Astyanax mexicanus: one gene and its partner. The protein of the gene in region 2 interacts with the protein of the main gene of each other region in a pairwise test. Links are inferred from orthologs where the notes say so. Each region holds a gene or a part of one and is shown on either strand. Other genes may lie near its edges. The genes, in order: vipas39 and vps33b.

The links.
Region 1: the proteins of vps33b (region 2) and vipas39 interact in binary tests that used the Homo sapiens proteins (3 or more experiments, as listed by UniProt). The link is inferred for Astyanax mexicanus from reciprocal best matches to the Homo sapiens genes VPS33B and VIPAS39.

Annotation. Positions count from the first base shown.
Region 1 is NC_064408.1:71,538,159-71,549,511, forward strand, and holds the start of vipas39 (spermatogenesis-defective protein 39 homolog), read left to right. Parts: upstream 1-5,803; 5' UTR 5,804-5,904; intron 5,905-6,331; coding exon 6,332-6,424; intron 6,425-9,142; coding exon 9,143-9,242; intron 9,243-9,752; coding exon 9,753-9,884; intron 9,885-9,985; coding exon 9,986-10,018; intron 10,019-10,108; coding exon 10,109-10,173; intron 10,174-10,257; coding exon 10,258-10,314; intron 10,315-11,212; coding exon 11,213-11,305; intron 11,306-11,353. Other genes in the region: cdc42bpb (serine/threonine-protein kinase MRCK beta), read left to right, coding at 161-281, 383-500, 969-1,163, 2,990-3,098, 3,201-3,271, 3,543-3,671.
Region 2 is NC_064430.1:134,190-145,614, forward strand, and holds the start of vps33b (vacuolar protein sorting-associated protein 33B), read left to right. Parts: upstream 1-5,748; 5' UTR 5,749-5,875; exon of another isoform or gene 5,876-5,889; intron 5,890-6,389; 5' UTR 6,390-6,425; coding exon 6,426-6,521; intron 6,522-7,551; coding exon 7,552-7,632; intron 7,633-8,254; coding exon 8,255-8,316; intron 8,317-8,391; coding exon 8,392-8,441; intron 8,442-8,544; coding exon 8,545-8,612; intron 8,613-9,014; coding exon 9,015-9,060; intron 9,061-9,152; coding exon 9,153-9,247; intron 9,248-9,858; coding exon 9,859-9,963; intron 9,964-10,411; coding exon 10,412-10,502; intron 10,503-10,776; coding exon 10,777-10,854; intron 10,855-11,425. Other genes in the region: mfap1 (microfibrillar-associated protein 1), read right to left, coding at 1,263-1,344; hddc3 (guanosine-3',5'-bis(diphosphate) 3'-pyrophosphohydrolase MESH1), read right to left, coding at 2,629-2,759, 3,201-3,441, 3,667-3,722, 4,338-4,449. UniProt on the Homo sapiens protein: May play a role in vesicle-mediated protein trafficking to lysosomal compartments and in membrane docking/fusion reactions of late endosomes/lysosomes.

The DNA of each region.
Region 1 (11,353 bases), on a different chromosome or scaffold from region 2:
TTACAATGGTCTAAAAAAACAAAAGGTGTTTGTAAGTAACATTACTTTAGCATCCTCTTATAAACTGAAAAAAAGACAAACTTAATCTGAGTTGCCCCCATGGATCAAACGTTTCCTCATTTCTCTTTTCTGACTTTGTCTTACTTCATTGTGTGTACAGAAGGTTATGATCTGGCCATCCCTGAGACATCAGACAATAGTAAGAAACTCATGGTGAGAACACGCAGCAAAAGGAAATTCCTCTTCAAGGTGCCTGAGGAGGAGCGAATACAGCAGAGGCGGTAAGAGATCTGTCCCATCTTTTCACGTTAATGACCATGTTCTCATCATCTAGTCCTTTAGAGCCAGTGGTTGATTGGTTTCATTTCTGTCTATATAACAGGGAGATGCTGAGGGACCCAGAAATGAGGTCGAAGCTGATCTCTAATCCCACTAACTTCAACCACGTGGCCCACATGGGTCCAGGAGATGGGATGCAAGTCCTCATGGACCTGCCACTGGTAATGGCTTTATATTATGCTGGGTTAGATCACAGAAGAATTGCAGGATTTATTGTAAAACAGCAAAGAAGAAATTACTGCTAGTTTTTTTTTTTCAGTTTAGGTGAACTGAGAAGGTTCTGATGTTTCATCAGCACTCATTAGTGTTGACATATATAGTGCACATATATCTAAAATTGTAGCATTTTCTTCTGAGAGCCACATATTCTGCAATAGCTCTACAGTCCTAATTAGGCACGTTGGTACATTTAAAATTCCATCGAGACTTCTAGAGTCACTCTCACCTTCTCTTTCACTGCATTGTACAACTCATCCCTTCTCTGCTCACCTTCTCTTCTCTTTTCCGTTGAGTAGTAACTTCTACTTTTCACCCTCCAACCCTTTTCCTCCTTTCTTTTTCACCCCTCTTCTTCTCTCTTACCCCCTTTGTGGTTGTGGATTTACCCTGGTCTCTCGTTGCCACGGCAGCAGCCGAGCGAGACTCCTTCCCCCTCATCCTCTCGCCACCACGCCCTGATCTCTCCTCCAACCAACTTTGAGCACGTCTATCACATGAGTTCCGTCTCTGCCGGGCTTTATCTGCAGAAAGAGCCCTCCTCGCAGCAGAGCCTTCCACAGCTCTCCTCCTCTTCCTCCTCACCTTCCACCTCCTCCCTCGGAAGGGTAGGCTAGCACCCTTTTCCCTCTTTCCATCTGCTCTTTCTTTAAAATCTCCCCTCCCAAACTTTCTTTATTTTCTCTTTTCTGCTATCTCCCTGTTTTATCATCCCCTTTTCTCCTTTCCTTCTTGTTTAATTCCTCAAAGGTGTGGTAGGTCTGTGCATTTGCACGGTACAGGGAGTGTTACCATTCAACATACTGTACACAAGGTGGTAGATTGCAACTTTCTTTCAAATTAAACTGTCCTGTGTATCAAAAACACACCATCATGTGCGTAAAATCACTGTACAAAATCAGAACAATGGGATCTGAGGACACATGATTATTACAGAGTACAACCATGCTATCTAGTGGTCATGGTTTAAACACAACAGAAAATAAACCTCTAACAGGCACTAATCTTTACATGTTATTAATTGATAGAAATTGTGAATTGATACAGTTTTGCAAAACATAAAATATCACAACTCTTTTTCAGTATTCCACCCTTTTACACCCTTTCCACAGAGGCTAGTGTTGCTCAGTTCATGCTATAAATGGACCTTGTTAATCAGCTGAAAAGCAGGACAGAAATAAGGAGCCAATTTTCAATTTAAGCTTTCGCTTATATCGGACTTACTAGATAGACATGAGCTGTGACCCACCAGTCAGGTTGATATTGGACATACTAGACCAGATATCAGCCAGACATAAATTATTCACGTTAAGTACTCTTACTTAGGGTTTTACTTAGCGTATATTATAGTGTTCGTGTATGACCATTTCTATTGTACATTAACAAGTACATGATATATATTGCTGTACAATGCAGCAGTTTGACTTTCCTTGACGTTCCTTTAAGTTTTAAAGGTCACCTTCCGCGAAAATCCGATTTTTCTTGTTTTTTGTGGAATACAGTAGGTCTCTCCGAGTTGAATGTGTACACCTGCACATTAAACTGTTTTGCAGCCCCCATTGTCTGCAGGAGCTAAGCAAAGAAATCCCCCCTCCCCCCCTCCGAAAAACGGGTGAATTTTGAATTATCTTTCTGCCTACGTAGGCAGAAACTCACAGACCAGCCCACCTTGGCTCGAGAAACTCCCAGAGGCGGAGCTGAAGCGACGCAACATCACCGCTCATCAGTTAGGAGGTGGGAGGCAGTGAGCGGCAGAGCGGTGGAGGGGCGTCGCAGTGCTCCTAGCCAATCAGAGGAGAGATATTTGCATTCTGTTTGCATGTATGAATATTCATGAGCAAAGCTGGAATCCGGTCATTTTGGACACACCCCTAAAACAGTCCATTAGAAAAGAGCTATACAGAGACACCTGAGCACTTTTTTTTTACAAAAACGGCTCACATGTCATTCATTCATACTAGAGACCACAACTAGACATTTTAAAATGAAAGAAAAAAACGACGGAAGGTGACCTTTAAAGAAATGGCTTATTTCATATAGATCTTCATACACGCACTGCTGAGGAAAAAAAAATCTCTTAAAAAAGAAGCTATATTAAAAATGGAAAGAAGTTTTTGACATTTTGGGTGGTTTTAATGTATATATAATTTTGAATGTGTACAGTACTCTAAACTACAATCTGATATAATTATATTAAAGTATGAGGATTTATTCGGTTAATATTCTACAGCTAACTATTTGGTCATTCTGACTGATTTATAATTCAGCTTTTTACTAATGATTTGTTGCACTATGAAATTGAAATTGAAGACATGAAGTTGACTTATTAATGGTTAAAGATGTCTGAAACCATGCTGGTTTTAGGAGTAGAATAGGTAAGGGCTATGAAACTTTCCTCTGCATCTAATGCCGGTATTTGTGCTCACTGCTACAGAGTGTGATGCCCTCTTCTCAGGATGACTCAATTAAAGACAAGCCACGTCCCCTATCTAGTATTTCACGACAACAATGGAGTAAGACCCACATCACACGCACTGCCTCCGGTTAGTAATCTCTCACCATCCATGTTAGTACTTTTATGTGTCTTTTCTATTGAAAGGGTGTTTTCCTTAGTTATAGTTTATTGATCATGCTTGTATCTATAGGGGGTGGTGACTTTATTGGAGCTGGGTCATCTCGCAACATCTCAGATCCAGATCAGGACTTCGAGAGAGAGGTAAAAAAAAAGGCTGTTCTTTACTTGATTCATTGCTGCTTTTACAAGCTTTGATCATATGCTGACCTCGGGTACAGGAAAATGTTCCATTCCAGTTGTTTTTGGGTGCCCTTGTTTTATGTTCAGCAATAACTGCCCCAGTTCTCATTGTCAGAAGCACAGCAACAGTAAACCCTCAGGCTCTGTTGCACATTCACTATTTTGTAATTTCAGCCTTGCTTAGGATCACCTTTATCTAGTCTCATTTTTTCCTTCATGTCTTTCTCTGCAGCCTGACTCAGACTCCACCAAACACTCCACCCCTTCCAACAGCTCTAACCCCAGCAGTCCCCCCAGCCCCAACTCTCCGCATCGCAGCCAGCTCACCCTGGATGGTCTGGAGCATACTCTGGATGGCTGAGAACGAACATCACCCTGCTTCGGCGCACACCTTCACTTTTAATACACATTGCCCCCGCCCCCAGCTCTCCGCTCCGCTAGAATTTGCTACAAAGTGCCAACATTCGAACTCTCATCTCACAGTTCGTATCTCCACACACCTGCGCCACCTTTGCAGCCAAAACTCTCTGCTCTCCAGGCTGCTTGCCAAGAGAATTATAAAACATACCCTGGATGGAACTGGGATACTGAACCGCTGTCGGAAAAACTTCTGTGATGTGTTCCTAGTGGAGTGTGATGTCTGGCTCATGCCGGCCAGTATGAGAATCAAAGCTCCAGCCAAGTATGGCCTCTGGATGCATATAATGACTGCCCCCTGCTGGAGCCTAGGTGGTAGTGTAGCTAACAGGGTCTAATAATCATCAGTATGTTTTTTCTTTTTCTTTTTTAATCTCAATGCCATACTCTTGTGAGGGTTGTTTTTTTTAACTCATTAGAAATCATGCAAATAAAAATGCCAGAAAATGCTGTTAAAATGACAAGTGAGGGGAAAACTGGCTTTCCTCTTTTAAGTGTGTAATAATTTGGTGGTTGTGTTCATCACTCATCATGTGGGATAGGAGGACCTGGAGACACCCTTCCCTCAGATAATACAGCTGGACCAGTAATGAAAACCCGTTTTGCTATTCTGTATTAGCGACACTTCTCTACGTAGTTGTGTCAGAGCAGTCACAAAGAGGCATTGACACTTATCCGACTGGGGATTTTAAGCCAAACCGGTGGGCACTTTTATTGTAATGTAAATCTTTTTGTTTTGTTTGTTTTTTTCCTTCCCCAGTCTGCATTTTTTTCAGGCATCCTTTGTAATATTCATGTTTTAACTTAGACGTTTGAGACAAACAAATACTTAGCTGATGGAACACTGCTCATTTCCATAAAGAAGTAAAGAAACTGAAGTAAAGAGAAATAAGACTTTACGTATAGTAAGTGTTTTAACAAGAGTAATGGCACACTGCTAAAGGACCACACTATTCATAGGATTTCAATAGTTCTTCTGAAACTGCTGCTGCTTTTGTGTGCTAATGTAAAGAAATAAATATGTGATTTAAGATTCTCACCATAGCCGTGTTCGATCCCTAGGTTTTACATTGTTGCATTAAAGGAGCAACTACAGGTTATCCTTCATGAGTTTCTGGAACGTAGACAGTATCATTTAATGTGGCGCTCTCACGTATGTGGTGGAATCAAAGCACCACACCACCACAACGAGAGCTGCGGGCATGACCGTCATATCCATTCTCTCACTAGCGTGCCTTCAGTGCCATTCTGTGTTACAGCAACACATTGTCCGCTAAAGCATTTCAGTTGTTTTTAACAAGACAGGCTAATGGTGATGTTTTATTTTGTGTTCCCCTCCCCTCACCCTGAAACACTGTATGAAACTTGCACATGAACATGTTTTAGTCCGAGGAAATTTCTTTTGATTTTGTCGATGGTATTCCTGTCTTTTCCCTGTGCCCCTCCTCCCTCCCTCTCTCCCCTCCACTTGACTTTTCAGCTTCTTAAAAATGGGACTTTATTCTCAGAACACTACTGCTTTTACTTCACAAGAAAACAAATCACATGTTGAAATCTTTGTAATTATTGAATTGTTAGCCTCATAAATTTGAACAAACAATAAAAAGAGTATCTGTTGTGCTTTTTTTTTTGTCAAACTGGTGTGTATTATGGAAGCAAGTTGGAGCTGCAGCTGGACATTAAATGAATCGGTTATTTTCCATTATTCATTCACAAGCATTACCTGCCTAATTCAGAATACTAAAATAGCATATGATTATTTTACGTGTCGGTTGACACTAGGCTTGGTAGCTAGCTAGGTTAGGAGTCTGAGGTCTGCTGTACTGGGGGATTCTTGAAACCAGAGGAGATTAGTATAAGAGTATTTCCTTGCCACAGTGGCCACCATCCCCGTCTCACTGTTACCAATATCACTGTGGTGTTAATCAGAGGCTTGGACCCGTAACTCGGTAGAGCAGCCTTTATTTGACATTTGTTGTGTAAAAAATAATAAAAAAATGTTAATGTAGGTTGTAAAAATGTGTAACATAAATTTAAAATAACTCTAAATGTCTCACATCGATTTAAATATTACATTTCATTTTCAGACTTTTATTTTGGAGGGTGTCTGAGCCAACGCTGCCCGGAAGTGATCAGCTGACGTTTCATGGTTTTGATTAGGCTGCAAAATCTCGAAGGTAACTTACATGAGATTTCTGTTTTTAAGCGCTTGCTTTCTCAGTCTGATCTGAGTGTATAAGACTTGTGTGTGTTCATACGGCTGTAGTTATGTATTTCTGTGATAATACAGTAGTTGTATAAAGGCGCGGCTGTGTTCTGTGAGCGCTGGAGGGCTGTGTTAGTCCAGACTGACAGCTGGGAGCGGAGAGACCGCGCCGGGGTTAAAAAGATACAGAAATAGACACTAATAAACACAGAGAGATATTAATACATACTGTACTTAGTGAACCCCGCTGTTTAATCTCTGTTAGACTGTCTGAATTAGCCGGTTTTAATCATTAAAGTGGAGGCGAGACCTCAGTATAATGTAAACAGTGTTCAGCTCAGCAGCGCCTTCTCCTGTGTTCTCCTCTCTGTTCACTGTGTCTGTGTATATCGGTCTAGATGAGCAGAGCCAAGCCAGAGGACGATGAGTACTGGAACAGCTCCAAGTTCAGCGCCTTCACCTTCGATGATGAAGATGATGAGTTCACTAAGGTGAGCTTTAGTAACTGACTGGTTAATCAGCTCCTGCGCTCCACCTTAAATCATACAGCAGATATACCTAGATAACTAACTTACCAACACTGGCGAAGCCTCGTGATGATCCGGGACAGTTTTACATATTAATAAGCTTGTGTTTTTTATTTTATTCAACCTAGTGCTGGGTAGTATATCGCTTCATCCGATATTAATACCGGTTTTAATATCCTTTACGCTGTTATTTTTTTACGTACCGCTAGAGGCGCTACAGAGCACTGCATAGAAAAGCACTGCCGAAAAACACACTGCTAAGCTAAGAAAAAAGTTCCTTTCGTCCCCCCAGACAAGCCCAGAATTATGGAAGCCCATTTCCGCCACCTGAAGAAAAAAAAAACGTCCTCAACTAAGTCTTACTATCCCATAATTATGACTTTTCTATCTCATAATTATGACTTAGTTGAGGACGTTTTTTTTTCTTCAGGTGGCGGAAATGGGCTTCCATACAGAATCATTTATTCAGCACAAGAAAAAAAAATCCCTAAAACTCTGGATACAAGGTAAAGATAAACTAGACCAATAACTATAGCCCCTTTTGAATATATTAATTCTGTAGCTTAAAGGATAATATTAATGCACAGTGAACCGTATTTATTTGTTAACTGGAGAACCAAGAGAATTATAATAACCTGATAAACAGCAGCGTAAATACTGTAATGCTTCTAATGGCTTCAGTAATAACATATTGTAATATTGTAATTGATATTAAACCTGTGTCTTACTTGTGTATTAAAAAATGTAAGAAATATCTCTTTGAACACTTATATTTTAAGTGTTTCAATTCCATTAAAAGTGTTTATGGAACTATTTAAAATATTAAGTTTTGATAAAAAAAAAAAAAGATGTGTTTAAGTTGTTGGTGTATCTCATTTTAAGGCCCATTGTTTACATTCTTTAGCTGTTTTTTCTGCTAATGCAGTCTGATTACTTCATATATTGTTTACTTTTTTACATTACATTTGACAGATGCTTTTGTCCATAGCAACTTTCAATAATGATGTACATTTAGTAATAGGCAAGTTTAAGGTAAAAAAAAAAAAAAAAACATTTTTAGGTTGGGCCTAAAGGAGGTCAAAGGGAAGTAGTGGGATTGAGGAGGAAAAGAGGGTAAGAAGGAAATGAGGTTAGAAGTAGTTAGTTGTTAATGTTTGTTAGCCTTAATGTTTTAAACAGTACAGTCACAACCTTATATTAAAGTCAGTGTTAAAAATATAAATAAATAATTAAAAAAATGTCGTGCTATACTGTGAAACCATCAGAATATTGAAAATATGATTTTTTTTTTGGTCATACCACCCATAAACCATAGTTCTGATATGACTGCTAAAACAAACTTTTAAAATACAAGTTATAATATTGTGTCATTTACCTTTGTTAAATCAAGATTTGAACCTTAAAATATTTCCAGTCATGTGCTCAGAAAAAGAAAAAACATGAATGAGCTGCTCACTTTATTTATTAAATTGTAAGTTTTACATCAATATTCAAAAATGTGTCTGGGCTCTCATGAGTTAATGTTTGGACAGCCTTTGTGTTCCCTGTAAAAATGTGAACAATATAAAACTGCCTGGCCTGCGTGATCATGTGGTGCTCACATGGGTGGAACATGGGCAGATCATGGGTTAGGTGGGTCTAAGGGTGAGTCTGTGTATCTGTTGTTACTGAACCCCCATCCTTACAGCCCACCTTAATATCTATTGGGTCTAAACTAGGCTTCATGTAAATTTTGTAACCTAAATGTATAACCTATTTTTTTAAACTCTCAGTTGGCCTACCTATACAGTCCCCACAGGGGCATGCTTTTGTGTTCTCTCTCACACATTTGTGAAAGCTATGATTACCCCTCTAAAGCTAAGGCAAAAACACTTTTTTTATGAATACAGTTTTCCACTCAGTTAGTGAGAAATTTTAGAGAGACTAGAAGCAGCATTTACAGCCCCCAGGAACAAAATAGACAAAAGGAAAAGGTGAACATGGAATTTACTGAGATTATAAATACAGTGCATACATTTGCAACATGTCTACCATGTACTGTCTAACTTGTCAATGAAGAAACATAAAATCTCTCCACATTTCATGGATTATAAACTTTTTAAATATTATTAGTAGTAATAATACTATAACTATAATTAATTGTTTATTTTATTCTGCTGCCGATTTTGTATGACGTGTCTTATTTGTTTTTGGTTTTAATGAATGAAACATATAATATAATAGGATTATGTCTAGATTTTTTTACAGATAAAATGAATAGGATGCAAAGGTTTGTAAGCCCTTCTTGTTTGCTGATGCAAGTACACAACATGTAAACATATTTCCATCCTAAACCAATAGAAGTCAAGATCACTATTCGTCTCTACTACAGGAATGTCCAGAAAGGCCACAAATTATATATTTTTCCTGTACTGTTTTCTTGTCATCAAACCTTAAGTTCATGACTTCATCTCAAAATAAATTGTTATAATCTTGATCAGAAAAAAAATGTTTTTTTTAGGAACCAACTTTAATTTAGAGCAGACAAAAGTACCACAGAATAATGGTATAGAAAAATGATTCAAGTAAGTTTTATAAACTTCCAAAACATCACAGTGATCAAAGGTTTTTTATATTAAAAAAAATGTTGTAAACCACAACATTGGAAAATGGGAATTCTGCTTTGTTTTCTTGTTTACTCAGATGAAAGAATCAAAGCGTGCCGTGAACAGCATTCTTGTTGATGATGATGACGACGACGATGATGTTGAGAAGGTCAGCTGGAGTGGGGAGCCTATTGGAAGTAAGCCAAATCTCACTCCCTGTTTTTTTTTTTTTTTTTTTTTGCCTCTTTTATAATATACACCAAGGGTGCTCATCCCTGGTCCTGGAGATTTACCAGCCTGCACTATTCAGTTTCAACATACTGGCTGTAATATGCAATAAAGTATTCATCATCTGGGTCAGCTGTGGACCAGGAATGAGCACACCTGCTATAAAAATGTCTGCAGGTATCCAGACATGTCTGTTCTGGCTTTGCTGGTAATTAAGAGTTTAATCATCAGAACGTTACCTCACTAAAGCTGTAGTGGCTGAATGCAGTCAAGTCCTCACAGCAATGTTTCAGCATCTACTGTAAAGCCTCCACAGATATGTAGAAACTACCAAACACAAAAGGAGCACAAAGTTGTTCCTGTTACCTTTAATTTCTGAAGAAACATTGAATGGGCACATACCTATGAGTGTACGGCCATTTAGCATGTACCTTTTGTTATATTGGGACTTTACACAGGGATTTACTGTTGTTTTGCAGGTATCTCCTGGTCAGTCAAAGAGACGGCTTCCAGCTTTCGTTCCAGTGGGGAACAGAGCTTTCCAAAAATCGACACTGCCCCCTCGTTGCCTAAACAGGGTTCTGGTTACTCCTTAAGTTCCTTGTTCAAAGGTACTCAATAGATCATTATGTATTGATTGGAGTAAACTAACCTGTGTGTGTTTTTCTCCATGTGTGGCTTTTTTTCTAACTCATTGCTTTTCTTCCAATAGCAAAGAGCAAGCCCTTCCAGTCATTTTCGGAATGTGAGTTAACTTAAACCTGCATCATCAGAACTAAGTAAATTGTATTCATTATATTTTATATTGACCTGCTTCTGTTTCTGTGTCTCCTAGCTTTTACTGATACATCAACCAGAGCTTATGCACCAGAACTGCGCAAACCGAAGTCGGAGTGTAAGGTGTGTTCCCACTCTTTAATCTGCTTTAATCCAGATTGCAGTAGTGGAGATGTATTAACTGGCTTTTATTACGTGTAATTTCAGGATTATATGAGCGACTGGAGCCCTGAGGAGACAGTTCGACGGATGCGGAAAGGAAGGGTAATGGGTGGCCCAGGGCAAAATAATTATTTCTTGCATTACATTTGACTCTAGGTTAAGTCTAAACCCTAAAGAAAACCAAAAGCTTATTCTATCGGCTCTCTTTTTGTTCAACCTCAAAACAACTAGGGTGCATCCCAATTGCATATTAATTACTAACACAAACTAGTTTTTAAAGATGAATATGGTATGGATAAAGCTATTATATATACATAATACATAGTCAGACCCATCTGTTTTTTTAGTGTGGTCACGATGCACAGTGCTATGAAAACAAAAAAAATAATGTCAATGAAAGAGGCTTCGAGTGGTCCAGTGGTCATAGTGGGCTGCCACTATTATCGCAAGATTGTTGGTTTGAATCCCAGTTTTGCAGCTTTCCTGCGAACTCGCTGTCTACTCAGTAATGCTGCATAAGCATCAGTATGAAAAGAGGAGGTGGCTGACTTTACAAATTTATGTCCTTGTACTGAGGCATCACTAGTGATTGCAGATACACAACTGAGTAGCAGCTGAATGAGTGGGTCAATTGGCCTAGCTGTATTGGAGAGAAAATTGGAAGAAAATTCAAAATAAATGAAAATAATAAAAAAAAGAAAATGTAATGATGACAAATTCAGCAGCAATGGCAGCTGAAGAATTGCAGTGACATACAGTATGCTGACATAACAGTGGCATATCTTTTACTGTTGGTATAAAATGGGTTAGGGTGTTAATATTGTGTGCAGTATGAAGTTGCCAGAGCTGCACTACTGTAATTATTACACAGTATTTACACAGAAGTTATAGCCTGTGCTTTTTGATAGTAATGGAGTTACAAACAGATTTTATTATTGGCTTTTTATAGCCTAAACGTTTTAATTAATTTTTTGTTTTTGTTTTTTGTTTGTTTTTATAGGCGTATTCCCTGGAAAGGTTCCACTCTCTGCAGGATAAATTGCTGCTGTTGGACGAGGCAGTCAGCTTACATGATGGCAATGTTATAACTGCTGTATGTATTACATTTTACACTTCATCAGGAGGAGATATTAACAGTAAA
Region 2 (11,425 bases):
TTCCCTCCCCGAGGTCATGTGACTCGTTAGTGTTAGAAGGTCTCAGGTGTGAATGAGGAGCAGGTCTGTTTTAGGTTAAATTCCCTCAGACTGACCACTGGATATTCTACATGCCACCTCATGGTAAAGAACTGTCTGAGGATGTGTAGCTCTGCATAAAGATGGTCTATTCTATAAAAAGATTTCTAACACCCTGAAACTGAGATACAGCAGTTTTCCAGGACGGGTTCCACTCAGAACAGACCTCTCCAGGGTTCACCAGAGAAGCTGGGTCCTCGTGTTCAGTGTAATATTCAGAGGTTGGCTCATAAAAACATTAATAGCTGTACTGAGTGCTGCCAGTTTTGCTGCAGAGGTTGAAGAGGTTTGAGGTCAGCCTGCAGTGTTCAGACCATACACCACACACTCCATCAACTCTGTCTGCATGGCTCTGTCCTAGAAGGAGGACTCTCCTGAAGCTGATGCACAGGTAAGGTGATGGTAAAGGTGAAGGACTGGCCAAGTATGCCTACAGACCTAACGCCTACTGAACATCTGTGGGGCATCCTTTAACTGGAACCTGGAGGTCTCAAACATCCACCTATCAGATCACTGATGTCGTCATAGAAGAGGATTTCAGTGGAAACCCGTGGCGCTCTAGTGAACTCACGTTCAGGTGAGTTAAAGGTCTGCTGAATAATATCTGTGATTTAAAAAAATATTATATACGCTTTGGGCACAATTGGTTTATTTTCACTAAGGAGTATCCTCATCATTTAGACACTAATGTGTGTGTTGAGTTATTTTGAGGGAACAGAAAATTGACACTGTTATACTGAAGTTGTACACTGATTACTTTACACTGTATCAGAGAGTCTCATCTTCTGTTTCTCAAGAAAACATATAAAATATTTACAGTAGTATGAGTTTATTCACTTCTGTGAGCCACTGGACAGTATATGATTAAGGATATTTATACTGTATTGTGACAATTTCAAACACTAATCTTTACAGTTTATGGATTAAAGCTGTTTAATTTATAACATATATAAATAATTTACCCATAACATACATACATTTAACATATGTAAATATAGCACATATTAACAAATTAATTATTAAACTACTTAATTAAACCTAGAATACAGTCAAACAATACAACTACTGACATAAAGGGATTTTAAACCGATGTATAACCCGTGATTAGGGTTTAAACTGAATTTTAAACCGGTTTATTGTGATTGCGCTGTTAGCTTTAGCCCTGATGCTAATGTTAGTATTACCTTTCTCGTTGCGGATCGGAACCGCCCCGGCGGTGGACTGGATCGGCGGCTGCTTCATGTTCAGCGCGTTCTGAGCGGACATTCTGAATCCGGTTAATAAACAGATTAATAGTAATAATATTAATATAAATGTTTATTAATCCGCCGCGGCTCCTGGTTACTCTCCTCTACACACCGCGGGCGGGTACAGCTCTTATATCCGCTCCGACTGGAAACAAAACCCGAACCCTGCAGTTCCTCCCGCTGCTTCTCTCAGGTTTATGGGGGGCGGATCCGCTAAAGGTGCAGTACCGCCCCCTGCTGATCCACAGGCATAGTGAGCTACAGTGTGACGTCATCATAAAGAAAAAAAAAACTTCCAAACAAAAGCAGAAGAACCGGTTTATTCACTTCACCCAGAACTCCTTCAGTCTCTACTGTGACTCTGAGCTGGAAGTGTATTTATACATTAAACTTGAGTCTTTTTACAGTGAGTTCACTCTGATCATCCTCCACCCTCACCCACCTCCACCCTCAACCCTCTCCACCCTCACCCACCTCCACCCTCTCCACCCTCACCCACCTCCACCCTCACCCACCTCCACCATCTCCACCATCTCCACCCTCACCCACCTCCACCCTCACCCACCTCCACCATCACCCACCTCCACCCTCTCCACCCTCACCCACCTCCACCCTCACCCACCTCCACCATCTCCACCCTCACCCACCTCCACCCTCTCTACCCTCGCTGAGCTCTTTTAGTTCAGAACTTTCAGATATGTTTCACCCTGAAACTCCAACAATCTGACACCAAACAAAACCTGCAAGTCCACTAAATGTACATATAAAAAAAATTACTTTTTTTCCACTGATGTAATTATTAAAATCTTTATTTCCTGGATATCAGCAGGATTTACAGAGTAAATTATAACACATATTATTACATTTCTAAGTACAGTACAGTACACGGTCTGGACTTTACAGCAATAAAGAGAAGAGAAGTGAGAGCCCTGAGAACAGTATAGAGTATAGAGTGTAAAGTAAAGTAAAGAGTAGAGTAGAGTATAGAGTAGAGTAGAGTATAGAGTAAAGAGTATAGAGTAGAGTATAGAGTAGAGTATAGAGTAGAGTATAGAGTAAAGAGTATAGAGTAGAGTATAGAGTAGAGTAGAGTAGAGTATAGAGTAGAGTAGAGTAGAGTATAGAGTAGAGTAGAGTATAGAGTAGAGTAGAGTATAGAGTAAAGAGTATAGAGTAGAGTATAGAGTAGAGTAGAGTATAGAGTAGAGTATAGAGTAGAGTATAGAGTAGAGTAGAGTATAGAGTAGAGTATAGAGTAAAGAGTATAGAGTAGAGTATAGATGAGTACAGGGGTGAATTAGAGTTAGATCTTGACGCCTCTCTCAGTGAAGAGCTGCTGCAGTTTTTCCTCCAGAACCGGATTCGTCCCACGCAGTCCTTTCACCACCTGCCCCGCCCACAGGAAGTACTCCTGAACCCGCTCAGCCGTCCAACCTGATACACACACACACACACACTTATAATTACACATCAATCAAGCAGAATATTATGACCACTGCAGTGATACTGAGGTGTTTAAAAACTCCAGCAGCACAGCTGTATCTGATCCACTTACTGTACCAGCTCAACACTCACTAACACCTCATACACCACCACCATGCTAATCACTGCAGTGCTGAGAATAACCAGCCAAATAATGATAATAATTACAACAATAATAATAATAATAATTATAATAATAATTACAATAATAATAATAATAATAATAATAATAGCTGCTCTGTGGTGGTTTTCTATGCTGTGGGTTCTGAATTAGGAGGAGAATAATAAAGATAAATACAGAGAAACACAAACAGTCTGTAATTATTATAGAACTACTGAATAAATAAAGGAATAAAGGGTTTTGGGGTTGGGGTGAGGGTTGGGGTTGGGTACCCTGTGGGGTGCAGCGGTTCAGGTCCCGCAGGTTGTAGAGTTTATCGGCGAGTTTGACGAGTTTGGCCTGGCGGCTGCAGTTCGGCGCGTGTTCAACCTGCTGCCGCTTTCTCTCCAGTTTAGGAAGAGCTTTATTATCCGTCACTTCCTGAACGATCCTCGCCACCGTGCTCCCGAACGCCGCCTCCAGCTCCTCCAGCGTCGTCTCCGTGTCCTCCACCGTATCGTGAAGGAGCGCCGCCTGAATAACAGACCGTTCAGTTATTAATTAATATCTCATTTACCTGTCACTCTGTTTTGACTGGTACTGTATAATAATATATTTTAAGCAGTATATTACATGTGTTAATAATATATGTTTATATTACATATATAATCTTTTGGCCAAGTTGACCCAGTATACTGTAAAACGTTTTTGCTACATAACTTTGTTTTAATTTAACAACTTTAATCGATCAGGACTCGCCTGTAAAACTTCAATATCTGTGATTCCGCCTTCATGACTCAAAATCCGCGCCACCCCTGTAAAAAGATCAGAGTGTAGATTAAACGTATTTATACAAATTCAACAGACAACATCATTATTTCAGCATTAATCAGTGATTTATATAGAAATAAAGAGTTGGGAGTGATCTGGTTTAACATGACTAAAGTTTGGTTGAGGGGGATTATGATCATGGTGTGGGGTTGTTTTTCAGAAGTTAGGCTCCGCCCCTTAGTCCCAGTGAAAGAAATTCTTAATGTTTAAACAGACCAAGATATTTTAGATTTCATGCTCCCAACTTCCAGAGGAGGTTTGGGGACGACCCCTTCCTGTTCCAACATAACTGAGCACCATAAAGATCATAACTCCATAAAGACCTGGATGAGCTGGACAAACACTCTTCTGGAAGAATGGTGAAAAATTCCCATAAACACACAAACACACTCCTAAACCTTGTGGAAAGCCTTTCAGAAGAGCTGAAGCTGTAAAAGTTTAACTGAGTTTTACACTAATCTGTATCTCAGGATGTGAAAAGTGTAACTAACACTAAATCAAACTCTGATAAACTGTACTGTAGAGTAGTGTAATGTAATGTATTGATAACTTTATTATTAATTTTATTATGAGTTATTGTGTACGGGGTGGTGAGTTACCGATGGGGTGGTTGATGTACGGAGTTTGCTCCGGATCTTTACGGCGTTGATTACGATGTTTCTCCGCAGCGAAGTTTATCGTCTCCAACAGAATCACAGCGTCTGAACTCATTTCTACACTTAGAAATAAATAATATAAAATAAAACAATATTAAAACTTCAACATTTTTCAGACACTTTTTTTCTGTGAACAGTGACAGAATTTAATTCAGTTTACTGAGCTGAACAGCAGAACTCTGTGCTTCTTAACCTTTTCTATAAGAGTATTTTATTTATTTCAGCTTTAAAATGTTTTATTCTGTAACCCTGAATCAAATCTAATTTAATTTGGGTTTAATTTTTTGCATTTTAAACATCTTTATGTATCAGCCTTAACAAATATATACATTAAACACTAAGTTACATATTAGTATTGATCTCAGTATTGATCTCAGTATTGATCTCAGTAATCTCCACAGGTCAGTAAATCTCTACTTCTTTATACTGGATTTTAAATCATAGCTGAATTTACTGTAATGAGAAATACACTGCATTTCTACACGAGATCTGCTGTAGTTTTACTGCTTTAAACAAATATTAGTTCACAGACTTAACTATACAACTTGTGTTTAAACTGTTTTTAAAATAAACAATAAATCAATTTTACAGTTTAGTTAAAGGACTGATTTCTGTTTCTGAGCTCAGAAAGATAAATAACCCAGATTATCAGCGGTTAAACAGAATAAAAAGCGGTTTTTATTCTGCGGTTAAATCAGTTAAAAAATAAAAGTGTGTAAAATAATAAAATAAATAAATCAGTTTAAATCTCGGAACCATTAACTATTATTACATGAGAAACTAGACCGAGAAATAAACTCAGTAAAATCACTCACCTGTTACAGATTATACTCCTGCTGTGATTCGGATTATTAAAGGTTTATTAAGTTTTATTTTATTAAGTTAAATCTGTGATTATTTTTAGCTCCTCTGAGGCGCTGCTGTTTCTGCTAAAGCTGATTTATAGCGAGACCGCTCACTTCCGGTATAACAGGAAATCCCTGCGCACCAATAGAGGGAGCCCGGGGGGGGGGTGTGAATAATTACTTAATTTATATAATTGTATACAGCAGAATAATGTACTTTACATCGTTACTGTATACTTTAGTTTATTTATGCAGTAAACAGGTTTTAGGCGCTGCAGTGCTGCTACTGTGAGCTGATTGATTAGTGAGCTGTTGCTCGAGTTGCAGTCAGAGCACCAATAAAAGACATAACCTTAAAAATTATGTTATCGATGCTGAAACTTGTGAAATTGTTCTGTGTTTCAGTATAAAAAATTTAAACTTTTATGAACTCTGTTTTTTGCTCAGTTGACCCATAATAATCTATTAATATCGGACTCCCTCAGGAGCGCCCTCTAGTGTCAGACAGACCCTGAACACTCCGCAGTGACTCCTCTCCTCGCTATAGGATCTCTGTTCTGCAGTGTGCGCCGCTGTAACGGGTCCGTGCGGAAACAAACTGCTCTGAATTCCATTTCTTCCGGAAACGGGGAGGAGGTGAGGCAGCTGCTGTATGTTATGTATAATATTTTAGATTTAATATTTTAGATTTATTAGGATTTAAAAGCTTCAGATAATTACATTTACATATAATATCTTTCATCAGATGGATAATGTGATTAATTATGGATAAAATCGAGAAAATGTTCCAAAAAATCCGGATATGCCGCTAAATCCATCTGTCAGTTTCTGCAGTAAAGAGAGATGTTTATATTTCTGTGTTTGTCTTAATTTTTATATTATTATGAGTCTCGCGCTTTAGCACTGCTGTGTTCTGTCTGTGAGCCGTTAAATTACATTTGTGTAAATGCTGTCTTGATGTAATTGATGTAATTGATGTTGTTGATGTAATTGATGTTATTGATGTAATTGATGTTGTTGATGTAATTTATGTAATTACTGTTATTGATGTAACTATGTAATTACTGTTATTGATGTAATTGATGTAATTACTGTTATTGATGTGATTATGTTGTTGATGTAATTGATGTAATTGATGTATGTAATGCAGGCGGCTGCAGTGAGGGGGCGCTGTGCTGGATGTCTGATGGCTCAGTCAGGGAGGAGAGACGCTCCGGAGCTTCCGGACTTTTCCCTGCTGAAGAGACTGGCCCGGGACCAGCTCATCTACCTGCTGGAACAGGTAACCAGTATAACCAGTATAAACCCAGTATAACCAGTTTAAACCCAGTATAACCAGTTTAAACCCAGTATAACCAGTATAACCAGTATAAACCCAGTATAACCAGTATAACCAGTATAACCAGTTTAAACCCAGTATAACCAGTATAACCAGTTTAAACCCAGTATAACCAGTATAACCAGTATAACCAGTTTAAACCCAGTATAACCAGTTTAAACCCAGTATAACCAGTTTAAACCCAGTATAACCAGTTTAAACCCAGTATAACCAGTATAAACCCAGTATAACCAGTTTAAACCCAGTATAACCAGTTTAAACCCAGTATAACCAGTTTAAACCCAGTATAACCAGTTTAAACCCAGTATAACCAGTTTAAACCCAGTATAACCAGTATAAACCCAGTATAACCAGTTTAAACCCAGTATAACCAGTTTAAACCCAGTATAACCAGTTTAAACCCAGTATAACCAGTTTAAACCCAGTATAACCAGTATAACCAGTTTAAACCCAGTATAACCAGTTTAAACCCAGTATAACCAGTATAAACCCAGTATAACCAGTTTAAACCCAGTATAACCAGTTTAAACCCAGTATAACCAGTTTAAACCCAGTATAACCAGTTTAAACCCAATATAAACCCAGTATAACCAGTTTAAACCCAGTATAACCAGTATAAACCCAGTATAACCAGTTTAAACCCAGTATAACCAGTATAACCAGTTTAAACCCAGTATAACCAGTTTAAACCCAGTATAACCAGTTTAAACCCAGTATAACCAGTTTAAACCCAATATAAACCCAGTATAACCAGTATAAACCCAGTATAACCAGTTTAAACCCAGTATAACCAGTTTAAACCCAGTATAACCAGTATAAACCCAGTATAACCAGTATAGCTGTGGGCAGTGCTGATGGTGCTGTGGCCGGAGTTGTGGGCGGTGCTGGTGATGATGTGGGCGGAGCTGTGGGCGGTGCTAATGGTGCTGTGGGCGGGGCGGTGGGTGGAGCTGATGGTGTGTTTGTTTTATAGCTGCCTGGGAGGAAGGACTTGTTTATCGATGCTGATCTGATGAGTCCACTCGACCGAATAGCCAACGTCACCACGCTAAAGGTAAACACACCATCACCAATACTCAACCCCTCAATACTCAACCCCTCAATACTCAACCCCATCAATACTCAACCCCTACAATACTCAACCTCCTCAATACTCAACCCCTCAGTACTCAACCCCTCAATACTTAACCCCTCAATACTCAACCACTCAATACTCAATCCACTCAATACACAACCCCCTCAATACTCAACACACTCAATACTCAACCCCATTATACTCAACCCCTCAATACTCAACCCCTCAATACTCAACCCACTCAATAATCAACCCCTTAATACTCAACCCCTCAATAATCAACCCACTCAATACTCAACCCCTCAGTACTCAACCCCTCAATACTTAACCCCTCAATACTCAACCACTCAATACTCAATCCACTCAATACACAACCCCCTCAATACTCAACCCACTCAATACTCAACCCCATTATAATCAACCCCTCAATACTCAACCCCCCAATACTCAACCCCCCAATACGCAACCCCCCAATACTCAACCCCCCAATACGCAACCCCTCAATACTCAACCCCTCAATACTCAACCCCCTACTCATACAGGTTCAGTACAGTTCAGGGGGCGGAGTTTAAATCATTACATTTGTCTTTTTCTTTTTCAGCAACATGAAGTGGATAAATTATATAAAGTGGAGCTGAAGCCGATCGTCAGCACTGCAGATCAGTGAGTTTAATTCTGCATTTTAAAGAATAAATTCATTAATATCTGATTTATTAATACAGTATTTTCTGTTTTTAGGCTCTGCTTTTTGATACGACCTCGGATACAGACAGTAAAATGGATCTCAGGTTTGATCTGAATTCACTTTAAACAGCAGTTCTGTAGAGATAAATAAACATTAGCAGTAATATTAATATTAATATTATTACTATTTAATTTGAATGTTTGCAGATGTAGTTAACCTGGATAAGGCAGCTGGAAGATTGAGAAGATATAAGATCATATTTACCCCTCAGAAGGTAAGAGATAATATTTCATATCTTATATTTATAATTTAGGGCTTATAATTCAATATAACACAGTATAATGAGATACTGTAATCAGGGGGATTGTTTAATGTTAGCTGAAATGTAGAACAGTTATCTTAATTAAAAGTTGAGATTTTATCCAATTAGAATAGTGGGATCTAACCCCAGAGTGCAACACTAGTGGAGGCGGGGCTTAAACACAACACTAAACCCACTAAGAGAATTTATACAGTATAATGTTGCGCTGTTAGCTGCTGCAGCAGAACTGGTGTTTAGTGCTCTCCTCCGAGCGTGTTCACTGATGAAGCTGCAGTGATTGGTCACATGATCGCGGCTGGGATTAATCGTGTTAAGATGTGAAAATGGTGAATATTCTAATGTGATGTTCTGCAGTTCTACGTGTGTGAGGCGGTTCTGGAGGAGCAGGGGGTGTTCGGGGGTAAGTGCTCTAAATTCACCTCAGATGTACCCTCAAATAAACAGAAGATTAAACACTGAATTACTCGTTTTATTTGATGTTATTTTTTGCAGATGTGACGTGTGATGAATGGGCTTTTTATCTCCTCCCGCTGGATGATGACATCATAAGTCTGGAGCTTCCTGAGTTCTTCAGAGAGAATTTTCTGGTAATGTTTTACTGATGTCGGCTGATTGTGTTCAGTGGAGGTTCAGAGGTCAGGTTTTAAGGTTTTACATCATTATTTATCAAACTGTTTTTTACAAAGACTGTTCACAGCTTTAAATAATCTTTATTAAATAATCAGATTAAATACAGTAATAAAGCTGCTGAAACTAATTAAAATAATAAAAATGAGCTTAAATCAATGAATTATAAAAGTAGCACAGCCAGTGTTGTTTGGATTTTTTCCAGCGAACAATAAATAAATCAGCAAATATATATGTTTCAGATATCGACCAAATCTCAACATAAAAAAAACTGTATAATTCTGATATCATAATGCCCTCTCCTAATTATTAATTGACACGAGATAAATCATTAATAATCATTACAATAGTCATTATTTTTTTAACTAATGTCTCGATTCAAAATATCTTTTTGTGTTGTTTAATAGTTAATCAAATTACACATGATTTTGATTGTTGATCAGCTGTATAATATAATCTGTTTTGATTAAACACTCATCCTGTATTGAGGTATTATTGTGTATTGTTGTCAGTTGTTTTGTATTGTTGTTTATGGTTATGTATTATTGTGTGTGTGTGTGTGTGTGTGTAGGAGGGGGATCAGCGGTGGGTGGGCGCGGCCGGCGGTGCGTTACGGCTGATTCACTCTCTATACGGACCTTTCTCTAAGGTTTATGGGATTGGGCAGTGCGCCAAGGTGAGATCTAATATTATATTCAGTATATTCTGTATTTTGGGTGTTTCTCAGTGTAATCCGGGTCTGTGTAATCCAGGTCTGTGTAATCCTGGTTGGTGTAATCCGGGTCGGTGTAATCCGGGTGGTGTAATCCGGGTCGGTGTAATCCGGGTCGGTGTAATCCGGGTCGGTGTAATCCGGGTCGGTGTAATCCGGGTCTGTGTAATCCTGGTTGGTGTAATCCGGGTCGGTGTAATCCAGGTCGGTGTAATCCGGGTCGGTGTAATCCGGGTGGTGTAATCCGGGTCTGTGTAATCCTGGTTGCTGTAATCCGGGTCGGTGTAATCCGGGTCGGTGTAATCCGGGTGGTGTAATCCGGGTCGGTGTAATCCGGGTCGGTGTAATCCGGGTCGGTGTAATCCGGGTCTGTGTAATCCGGGTCGGTGTAATCTGGTGTAATCTGGTGTAGATGGTGTACGAGTCGTGGAGGGAGCAGGTGGAGGACGGAGAGCAGAAAACTCAGCAGCCTGAGATCGGAAACGTTTTCCTGATCGACAGAGGTCAGTCTCATTTCTATTTTACCAATTTCTACTTAAATTTAATGTTTTTTAATTATTTTAAAATATTCTGAATTGTAGATTAATACTCAAGTCACCCAAACTATAAAGAAAAACATATGGAATCATTTAATAAACAAAAAAGTGTTAAACAAACCAGAATAAGTTTTATATATTGTAGCTCCTCTTAAAAATAAATATGAAATATTATATTGTTCAGTGTAGAATCAGTTCTGTAATCCTGAGCGCTCTCTGATGTTACTCTGATGTTCTGTAGACGTGGACTTCATCACGCCGCTGTGCTCTCAGGTCGTATACGAGGGACTGGTGGACGATATTTTCAGGATTAAATGTGGTGAGTTTCAGTTTCATTACAATAATAAATAAAACTGTATAAAACCTGCTGTTTCTCTTTAACAAAATAAACCATAAACATCACAATCTCAGAGAGAATCGGGTGTTTTTACTGCGTTTTATCTGTGAAAGTTCTGTGTTTACGTTACTCTAAAATACCATCAAACTCTGGGTTCATTTATAGCTAAAAATGATGAAATACAGAGTTTAGTTTAGTTAAACTGCACTTACATTTAAATCAGTCATACAGTAAACATTTAACCATCAGTCTGACCATTAAATCAGCTGATCAGAGGACTTTTCTTTAGCCTAGCGTCATCGCTAACGTTCTGTTCACCACAGAACACACTCAGTCTGTCTGACTGAAACTCCACTTATAAACGCTTAGACGAGGAGAGCGTCTGGACGGACAGAGCGCAGGAGTTAGCGCTGTTTCTGTGGTGTTGTTGGTGGTTCTGTAGCTCACTCGCTAAGCTAACCTCCAGTACAGACACACAGAGAAACAGACCTGATACTGATAATAAAAACTCACTTCTGAGAGAATAAAGACTTAGTTAACTTAATAACCACAT